Linked DNA regions of Daphnia pulex. The protein of the gene in region 1 interacts with the protein of each later gene in a pairwise test. Links are inferred from orthologs where the notes say so. Each region holds a gene or a part of one and is shown on either strand. Other genes may lie near its edges.

Evidence for each region. The genes of interacting proteins can lie anywhere in the genome.
Region 2: the proteins of DNA replication complex GINS protein SLD5-like (region 1) and DNA replication complex GINS protein PSF1-like interact in a two-hybrid assay, tested with the Drosophila melanogaster proteins (2 studies listed by BioGRID). The link is inferred for Daphnia pulex from reciprocal best matches to the Drosophila melanogaster genes Sld5 and Psf1.

The regions. Positions count from the first base shown.
Region 1 is NC_060022.1:2,232,771-2,238,924, forward strand, and holds DNA replication complex GINS protein SLD5-like, read left to right. Parts: upstream 1-2,395; 5' UTR 2,396-2,930; coding exon 2,931-3,053; intron 3,054-3,125; coding exon 3,126-3,272; intron 3,273-3,339; coding exon 3,340-3,491; intron 3,492-3,555; coding exon 3,556-3,729; intron 3,730-3,801; coding exon 3,802-3,901; 3' UTR 3,902-3,973; downstream 3,974-6,154. Other genes in the region: tau-tubulin kinase homolog Asator-like, read right to left, coding at 1,237-1,352; ras-related protein Rab-4B-like, read left to right, coding at 4,236-4,251, 4,357-4,437, 4,678-4,772, 4,836-4,855, 4,921-5,138, 5,207-5,302, 5,371-5,495; synaptic vesicular amine transporter-like, read right to left, coding at 5,664-5,887, 5,961-6,067, 6,138-6,154.
Region 2 is NC_060027.1:3,076,632-3,081,060, reverse strand, and holds DNA replication complex GINS protein PSF1-like, read right to left. Parts: upstream 1,531-4,429; 5' UTR 1,430-1,530; coding exon 1,358-1,429; intron 1,292-1,357; coding exon 1,227-1,291; intron 1,172-1,226; coding exon 1,094-1,171; intron 1,024-1,093; coding exon 654-1,023; 3' UTR 608-653; downstream 1-607. Other genes in the region: solute carrier family 35 member F5-like, read right to left, coding at 4,344-4,422.

The DNA of each region.
Region 1 (6,154 bases):
CGAGAAAATGGCGCTTTTCTACTTCTAGCAAACGCCATTCAAAACTATCAAAGCATCTGAAAAGCACCGAAAAATAAGGGGGGTAGAGGTGGACTGGGGGCATAAAAAAGCCGAAGAATACGACGAGAGACAGGGGGCCGCCCCGAGAGATATTTTCAGATCGCGGTCATCAGCTTCAACAAACAATCACGACAAAAGAGAAAACGAGACGTTCATGTTTGCTGCTGCTCAACGGGCATATAGCCAACAACACGCACGCACTCACGCAAGCAAGCAAACACACACACACACACACAGTTTGAATTAGATAGAGTCCTGTTGGTATAAATACATCATTTGAAAGAGACGAGCGCCAATTCCAGCTTCGACCAGAGATTTTCAGTGGCTAACTTTGTCGACTCAACTTCCTATAATATTCAACCTTGAAATGTGTGTACAAGCGCGACCTTTTCAACGGGGGAAAAAAGAAGGAGAGACAGAGAAAAACGGCCCAGGCAAACTGGTTCTGTTTGGGATGTTTGGATCGATCAGAACAGTGGCGAAACGTAGGATTCAAGGTGTGTTTGCGAGCGATTCCTATACGTGCAATATAGTCTAGTTGGGGAAGTCCGAAGATGTATACACACATAAAAAGCCACACCACCGTTCCTATTTTTAGTCGACGAGATCGTACCGCCGAGACAGATACTGTCTCTGCCACTTTTTGCCCAATGCTCCACCTTCCTTACTGACTCAAATTCACTAGCTCTTTGAGACTGATTGAATCCTGCTATCACTCGACACCCCTTTGTTTTTCTTGCTGAACAAGGGCAACTGCGCTGGGAAGGGAGACATTGTCTACTGGAAAGTGAGAAAACGCAATACTCCATCACCCACTTGACTCTGCTCAATCCACAATTATGTTAACCTGGAAATGTAACAAAATTTAGGTTGGATCTGCTGGTTACGTTCACTTCACTAACTTCCAAACACTTTTCCTACCAACATGAATGAATAATGGGATAATCCCGGCCATACCCACTTGAGACCAGCCGTCATACCCCAGACAAAAAAATCAGTCAATGATAGAAAACCCCAGTAGTTCGCCCTCCAACAAAGCACGTATACACAGACCAGATCGTTGCCTAAATCGATTTTTCTCCAACAAGCTCAAATTGCTCAATCACACGGGACTTTCCTCGAGGAAAAGAAAACCTTATTAGTTAGCCAAAACAAATCTATTTCAGCTTTTCTTACCAGTAGTTTGGCAGAAATCTATAGAACAGTTGAACGCCATATTTGTCGACACATTCGGACTGCGGCTGAGCAGAGCAGACGAAACAAAATTTGTTGGAAGGGGTTGGGTAACGCATAAAATCGATGATGCTAAGCTATCGATATGTAGTCTAAATCGATTTATAATTTCATACGAAATCCGGTCAACGACTTTTTGAGCTGTTTCCGTGAATGGGAACTGACCAAAAGCAATTAAATAAAATATTGAAGATAAAAATTTTGTGATTTACCACTGCATTATCTCCCAGCGCATATCGGCTGCTTGCGGGCGACAAGGAGATTGAATGTAATTCGCCAGCGCGCGCACTCCGGAAATCGACTTTCTTTTTTGTTTTCACCTCTCGATAATAAATGTGTTGTGGTAGCTAGCTGTTGATATTCCCAATAAGAAATCGACGTCGATTCCCCCACACTGTGCGAACTGCGGAACTTTGCTTTTCGAAACGATATGCAGTTTTTATTGCTCGTGGACTAAAAGAAGGAGCTTTAAGTGATCGAGCCAGCTCCGCTAGCCAGATCCTTACAGACTGAACGCCCGCTATGCTTGAGCCGGTCTCTTGAATACGGCCTCGCTAGTTCTTTTTAGTTTTTTCTTGGCGCTCAACACGTCACGACAACCCGAAAAGCTTGTTTTGTTTTCTCCGTCTATACTACTACCCCTTAATTCTCTTACTGTAGCATTTTGTGCTACAGTTGGCGTAAATGAAAACTAGAGTTCCTTATGTGACGGTTTTATTTAGACCCGAGTGCAGCAATTTCAATGATCGTCTGGAAACGGTCCATGTGCAGTTCGTCACTCAACGTCCGCTCTGTTTAGTTAACCACCTGCCGCCAGATACGTAATTATACGTACATATACCTACGGTTTGTACAGCAGACCACGCAAAAGGGATGTCTTTTCTTGTAAATAATAAATACTCGTCGTGCGATCTCTGTACATTTCGTAATCTAATAATAGCACTAGATTGCTTATTTTTACAAGGATGTTGCGTATTCGCGAACACGGATGCCACGTAGGAACAAACCATCTTCTTTCGATTTCGAAATCTTGTCCTCATTTTTAACGTTCTCTCTTTTTTCGCCGTCCAATTCCACCGATAACTGTGATGGAACAGGAGTTGAAGGAAATGCGAAACGCCAACGCAAAAAAATTCAAGTTGAACAAAATGTCGAGTATACCGTGATGGTTTGCCTTACTATTGTTTACCTTGCTCTACCTTAAGGCACTACCGTCCGCCCGGTACAAACTTGGCCAAATCACAACATCTTTTCTTAGAATATAAGATGTAACTAAAAATATACATGGTTTCCGCTCGCTTGCATTTGCATAATGTATTCTTAAAGTCGATGAGCCAGCACTTAACCAAATGGCAGAAACGACTTGTTTTGTTTGTTGTCGATTGACACGCTTAGCTTAAACTGATATATTTTTTCAAAGAGGGCCAGGTTTGCTTTGCAAATGTTTGAAGAACAAACCCGTTTAGAACGGAACAATAATCCAAGGAAAAAATAGAACATTTGAGCTCTGGCTTCATTAGCCGAGTCATGCAACGATGTTTTTGTTTTTGGCGGGAAACGTTGTTTTGTGAGGCCTCTCCTGTCAAATAGCAGTCGGCTTGTGGTAAAATTTCGTTTACGATTGAATAAGAATAATAATGGCTTCCTATTCCGGAAATCTAACGCAACTAAGTGATCTTTTCGGAACAGCGGATACTATATCAGAGACCGAAGACGCCGAATTCTTATCTGCTTCTGAAGCCGTCAAGAAACTCGAAGAGGTTTGGAATGATTAGACGTGCCAAAAATGTCCTGTTTGATGTTGACATTCCTCTGTATTATTGTATGTCAAGAGCTGGCTCAATGAAATGCTCGCCCCAGAATTATTATCTCCACAGACTGAGCTAGTTGACTGTCTTTTAGAGCAGACAAAGAACATGGAAGAGAATCTGATGGCCATTTCTAAATCAGATTTTCGATTTGCTTTGCATCGAATGGAAGTATGAACTACTAAATCAAGATTATGCCCTTCCCCCTTTACTAATATATTTGTAAAACATATGTTAGGTTGAAAGAATACGCTATGTAGTTACATCATACCTAAGAATACGTCTGGAGAAAATAGAAAAATTCCTTGGCTACTTGTTGAACAATGAAAACAAAAGACAACGAAATGAACCAAGTTTGCTTACAGAAGATGAATTAAAATTTGCACAAGAGTATAGTATTACCAGTTATTTTTGTTAAGTTCCTCTAACAACCATATTGTTTGTTTTTTGACAGACTAAACTCCAACACAGAAACCCACCTAAAAACTCTTGGACTCAGACACATGCCTACAAACATGAGAGAAATCAACACCCAAAAATTCATTACAACTCCAAACCGAGATAGCTACGTTTTCGTATGCGTTAAGGATGATGCCCCCTCAGTTCTTGTGAGCGATGGCACTAGCGAGTAAGTGTTTATATTGAATTCAAATAATTTTTTCTTCACATTGTATTCAAAATTCTTATTTGATTTTATCAGGGGTGAAATAGAAGTGGAACTGCTGATGAATTCTCAACATTTACTTCCGTATAGATCAATTTCAAGCTTGTTGCAAAATAATACGGTCAATTTGTTGTAATTTAATTAAAGCTACACTTTTTGTAAAACTTTTATGTAAAATTTCTTCAGGAATACAGGTAAATTTACAAAAAATTAATTTATTTTCTATTGAATACAACATACAAAAGGTGGCGCTAATGACCAAGTTGTTTTTTGAGCCGAGAAAAAACGTCTGCTAACTAACTTGTTAGACTTCATGAACTCATATAGCCAATCACTTTCCTTGCAATCACAAAGCTACATCCTGTTAGTTGATTTCTGGTTTTGACAGTTTCTTACTGATACTTGAGACTGAGACCCTTTACATCGGTTTATTGATAATATAGCCTTTCTCCGTAATTGTATGCCCAAGGATGGCTGAAAATTTCGGTAGTATTTTCTTGTTTACTTGTTGTTCATTAGACAAACGTCAACCCATTTTTTTATTGTTCAAAAATTCACAATGCTAATCAATTCTACTTTTATCTTATTCAGAATTCCTTTTCAAATTTCTTGTCATTGGCAGTGCAGGCACAGGAAAATCCTGCTTATTACACCATTTCATTGAGAAAAAATGTAAGCCATGCTTTTATTTTTTTTTTGTATTGTAAAATTTCAAATGTGTAGATAGTTTGTAGATAGTTACACAACAAATGAAATTGTCTTGTATATGAAAGGTAGATTGTTCGTTTCGTACTGTAAATTTGCAGTTGCTTTTACAGCTTGTCTAACAGGACTTTTTTTTGCAACAACATAATTCATTATTAATGCATATTTATTAAGAATTCCCTGTTTACATTTTCTCTTGGTTCACAGTCAAGCAAGACAGCAGCCATACCATTGGCGTGGAATTTGGTTCAAAGATTGTCACAATAGGAGGAAAACAAGTGAAGTTGCAAATATGGGACACTGTAATATAGCATATTCAATTGTATTCGGTTTACCTAATAGCTAAATCATTGTTTGTGTTACAGGCTGGACAGGAACGATTCAAGTATCACAATTGTCTCTTGTTGAATACTATCAGTTGAATATGCTAATTTTTTTGTAATAATTGAGGTCCGTTACAAAAAGCTATTATCGAGGAGCGGCTGGAGCGCTTTTGGTCTACGATATCAGTTCGAGAGAAAGTTACAACGCCGTTTCGAATTGGCTTACTGACGCTCAAAATTTAGCAAATCCCAATTTGGTTGTTTTGTTGGTTGGGAACAAAAGAGATTTAGAAGAAGATCGACAAGTTTCATTTCTAGAGGCCTCTCAGTTTGCACAAGAAAATGGTAAATCGTTATTCGTTTAAGTAATAGTTTGTAAACATTTGTCGAATTCAAGATTTCTTTTTATTTAGATCTAATGTTCCTAGAAGCCAGTGCGTTAACCGGTGAAAATGTTGAAGAGGCATTCCTGCAATGTGCAAAGACCATTCTTTCTAAAGTTGAAACGGGTAATGTAAATCCTAAATTTTGTGTTATAATCAAAATTAATTTCTGTTATTGTTTTTAATATTTAAAGGTGAACTTGACCCCAATAAATTGGGCTCAGGTATTCAGCATGGAGAGACGGCTATTAGAAGATTCCAGCGTCAGTCGACATCTATTTCAGTAAATCCACCTTCATGTTCGGGTTGCAAGATCTAACACTATCAAAAAGAACTTTCAAGACGTAGAGACAGTTAACCATGTCTTAAATTCCAGTGTAATAATAATTCGAAACACGTCTATTTATATATATTTGACGAAACCGCTCGGTATTAATAACAATGTCCAAATTGATGAGAAAAACCGTTCATACAGATTTCAAATTTTCTAACGTTTTTCATCTACATTCTCGAGTTCCTCATTTTCGAATCGACTGTATCCCCTGTGATCAGACGAGAATAACGTCAGAGCAGTTAGCTCAGATACTTTTTCAGGTTCATCGGATTTAAGGATTAGGACCAGTGGAGCAAAGACTAAATTCAAAACACCCATGCAAAGCATCAGGCGAGGAAAGCCCAAAGATTCCACCAGCATTCCACCTAACATTGGACCTGTTCAGTAGGAGCAAATTATTCGTCTGTCGCATTTGTAAGTTTAAAAATGTAACTATTGAAATCAACTAACCTAAACAGTAGGCTAAACTAACGGCTGTTTGTCCAAGAGCAAAGGTTTTACCGTACGACGGGGACAAATCGACAATCTTTTCTAAACGTTGACGATTTTCTGCCAGCCTTGGTATTTTAACAGGATAACATTAATTGATCAAAATTGAATGGGTGTTATAACATGGGCCAAACTTACGTAGCCAAGAGAGGCAC
Region 2 (4,429 bases), on another chromosome or scaffold:
CAATCAAATCATGTGAGATTGTTCAAATATGCATTACATAACCGAAATTTGTGAAAGTCTTGTTCGATTTTGCAATTAATATTCAAAAAATTTGTCAAAAAGTCAAAAATCACAAAATCAACTCTCGTAATTCGCTTGTTCACGTAAGCAACGGATTATATACTTACTTTAAGTAAAGTAGTCTGGAAACAAAGAACGATTAGTCTTATTCCTCAACGTCTTTATAATAATCTAGAATAACCCAATAACCCTCCCCCACGTGAGTTCATAGCTCATCCAAAGAAGCGATAGCAAAGTTCCAGTTTGTTTATAAAAAGAAAAAAATGAATTAGATAAATAGATATGCCGGTTGCCGGAGGGAAACAAAATCGTCTGCTCGCGTCAAAGCGCGACATTTTTTAAACGCGATTTTTTTCTTCTACACTTCTTGATTTGACTTTTGGGTTACTTAAATAAATTAGTTAATTGAAAAGATCAAAGTGATCAAACTAATGCTGGAAGAAAAATGATAATAAAATTATAATTCATTAAATGGTATGAGTTGTTTGATTTAAAATAAATTCTACTTACTTTAAATTGTTGTTAATTCTGAATTATTTAAATTGTATACTGTACATTATTTTATTCTGTAATCAATAAAGATTAATAAAAAATCATGAAACATGCTCAAGAATTCCTTGAGCAATAAGCAACTCACACTGAACACGAGGTAAGAGATGCAAGCTATTTTTCTTCAATACAACAATATCCCCATCCTCAGTTTCAAACTCTCCAAATTCAGTAATGCATTTAACTTGAATGTAGAGATTCTTTGGTGGTTTCAAGTTCTGTGTTAGATCAAGTGAGTAACTTCCTTCACCAATAGATTTCATATATGCAGCAAGGGATTTACTATATTTAATAAAGAACTGAGCTTCAGGCTCACAAATGTTAGCCTTGATATCTGATGGAAGGACAGAGCCAAAATGCCAGCGGTGTTCTTTTATACGTTCAAGTCTATTGTAAAGGTAGGCCATCAGGCATCTAAAATTTCAAAAGTAATAAAACTTAATTAGGAATTTTAATGAAAACACTTCAAACTTTCAGTGGTTACCTTTTGTTTCTTTCCAGTGCACAGTGTCGGATGTGTACTGAAGTTATGTATTCCGATTCTCCAGCAACAGCAGAGCTCCTAAAAGTCAAGTAATGTATACATAATTCCCTTTTATATGTTTGGATTTTCTTACGCATCTCTTTGATTTTCTTCAAACAAAGCTCTCATTTCCTCGAGTACCTGACGGACTCCATCTTCCTGTTTTTGCAAATAAAAATAAAAAAGTTTTACTACTTTCATCACAAAATATTAAAACACAATTACATTGAATGGTGGAAGGAAATCTCTTGCTCTTTCCAGTTCTTGTACCAGCTCCACTCCTTTTTGTGCAAACATGACGAATTTTTTATGCGTAAATACTTTTAATTGTTCATTCAATTTCAATCTAAACAAGGAATCGCAAGGAATGCACAAGCACAACTGCACACACAAGACACAGTCACGAATAGGCGGGAAATGATCAGCAGACGAGACGAAACGACGAAACTCAAAAGCTATGATTACATGGTTGCGTTTTTTATAAATATTCGCGCTTACGGAAAAAGCGCAATTAATTTAATTTAAACCAACAAAACCAGAGCCATTAACGTTACATTAAGTTAATGGCTCTGACAAAACAACAACAAAAAAATGAAAAAAAAAATCGACAAAACTCAAAATTCCATAATTTATATCCAGCACCAAATGCGTGTAATCGTGTCTTGTCATCTCAAGCATTTCAACAGAATAGATTTGGCCGAAGATTTTCTAATGGGGTGGTTTGAGAAGAGATATCATAATTAGGGTAATATGTGGATAATATAATTTATCCCTGAGAGTAATATTCATTCTTATGAATAAACTGAAGGTTTTATCTAAATCTATTACAATTACCATATCTCATCGGCATGTTTGGTCAGCCCGAGGGAAGAATGGAAAGACGAAGGCGTGTGAAAAAAGCTTCTTCTTTTATTCTTCCTTCGAGCTGACTGCTGAACTACCAGAATCAAACATGCCAATGTTTTTTAAGCTTTTACATTTGGTGGCATTTGAGAATGACTGCACCAGAGTTCGGGTATTTACCTGAAGAGCAAGAGCGAAAAAAGGTTGCACTCTTTGCTTTTCGCGGGTTATTCTAACTCTGGCTGCCACATTATTTTAAGAGCTTTTCAAGCGTTTAGTTGAAAAAATGGTTTTAAGTGCGCGAGCGCGACGGCTTGACTTTTGACTACTTAAAAACATTTCCAGTTACGGACTAGAAAACACTCTAAAAAAATACTTTGAAAAAATTGAAAGAAAACATCACAGGGAATTGGTAAAAACCAACAAACAAGAAAACAAAACAAAAACAAAGTTAGGTTATTGAATTGAAGAAGGTACAACAGTAACAAAAATTTCGAAAGTGACGCTAGATATCTTCAGGTTTTGTCAACTTCCCATCTGGATGACTTGCTTGATGACAGGACTGGATTCTGTTTGGTGTTTAACGGTTGAACTAAACCATTTTATTCTAGGAACTCACTTTCAGGGCTCCTTAATTAAAAGTTAAGAGTTAAATTACAACGTGATGTTAATCAGTCAAAGAACACCGTCCATAAATGATGTGGGGGTGTCGCGGGATTTTGAACGCCTTAACCGGGGGAGAGGTAGATATTTAAAATGTTATTAATGTCCATTATCGAGAAAAACTGGGTAACGTCATTTATGGACGGTTGAAAAATTAAGTTTACTTACATAGTGTGAAACCACTTCATACGAGCAAGCCATTTTTCGTCACGCGACATTTCTCTTGCATCATCAGCATCGGTCCTCGTAGGCAGGTTTTGATTTGCTGACCACATCTTCCGAAATTTCTCCACTGCAATAACTTTGCCGAATCTAACAACAGTTCGAACAAGTGGTGTGTTCAGAAATCTAAACACCATTTTCTACTAAATAAAAACAAAAAAAGGCATGAAGGCCGAGAAAGAGCACGGAATAAACCGACAACAAATGTTTCTATGGAAAGTTGAACGAACGAATGGTTACAAAAGATCAAATGAGACAGTGCTTGAAAACTTTTTTTTACATTACCACGAGGAGACGCAATGCAAAGCTGTGTTCATCAAGAAAAAGGCAACCGGCATCTGATCGAAAGAAAGAATATTCTGCGAAGCTCATGCTCCGAGTTCCTCTCACGAGACCGCCCCTGTTGCTTTTTTCCCGCGTGAAAAAGTAGGTTACAGTACTTTCTCTTTTTCATCGTTACACGAAGGAGGAATTGAATTTGGCAACAGACGACAGATACCGTGTACCACGGAAATAGTCTTCCCTGCAGCTACCGGTCAAGGCTGCGGAGGTCGTTGTTCTTCCTAGTACCTTATATGGAATACAAACCAAAAGACATTTTGTTGTGTCTGGGACATACAGTAAACGAATGCGACCAAATGGACGCCTGGCCGGCACATTTTGATATCGTTTGAAGCAAGGGAAAAATAATTACACATGTCAGGAAACACATGTCGTTGGGGTACGTAAATTTTAAATATTGAACATACGTTTTGTATATTAACATTATGAGAGTTCTTCCAAGCTCCCAGCAGTTCAAGAAATGTTAACAAACATATGCAAATCGATAGATAGTTCTGAACTGTAGACCTACAGTGTGCTTGATTATTTCGTTCGGTAGGCTATAGGCCTTACAAACTCGCCTCAACAAGATCTCCCGACGACTCTTCAAAGAATACTCTGTGTGAAGTGGCAGGACAATTTCAGTTAATCAGAATACACCATAGCAGGACCACAGTAGTCACGAAGGAAAATTTTCTATGAAAATGTGATCGAAAGTCACAATAATAATTTTAAAAAAAAAAATTGAATCTGTTTTGTCAATTTAGATTATATATTTTAAGTTGTCGAATTTAAGACTTCCATTGAGGGAATTCTTTGTTTAGGGAGTCAAGGAAAAGTATTTCTAACGATATACGAGGGTGAACAGAAACAAACGTTTAAATAGACGGTAGGCCTATACGGTTGTGATTTCTCCATGAACAGGCAATAATTTGTGAAAGAAAGTAATCAGTTACGAACATATCATCGGGAAATTTGTCCTATTCTGTGCAAATTAATCGAACTGAGACGCAAGAAGGGAATGTGTCAGTCGAGAATATCTTTCTACCTCTTACCGAGCGTCATTGAGACAAATGATTCAAATGCGTGAGCGTAACAAATGGATGGCGAGATGTTGACTAGGTAGCTTGAGAACATTTCAAGCGGAAGTGTTGGAATGTTATTATTCCGAGGAGGATTCGGGTTGATCGATTAGGGACTCGCGCTGCTCTCCGTCGTCAGTGTAGTCCATAGACCGGCTTCTATTTG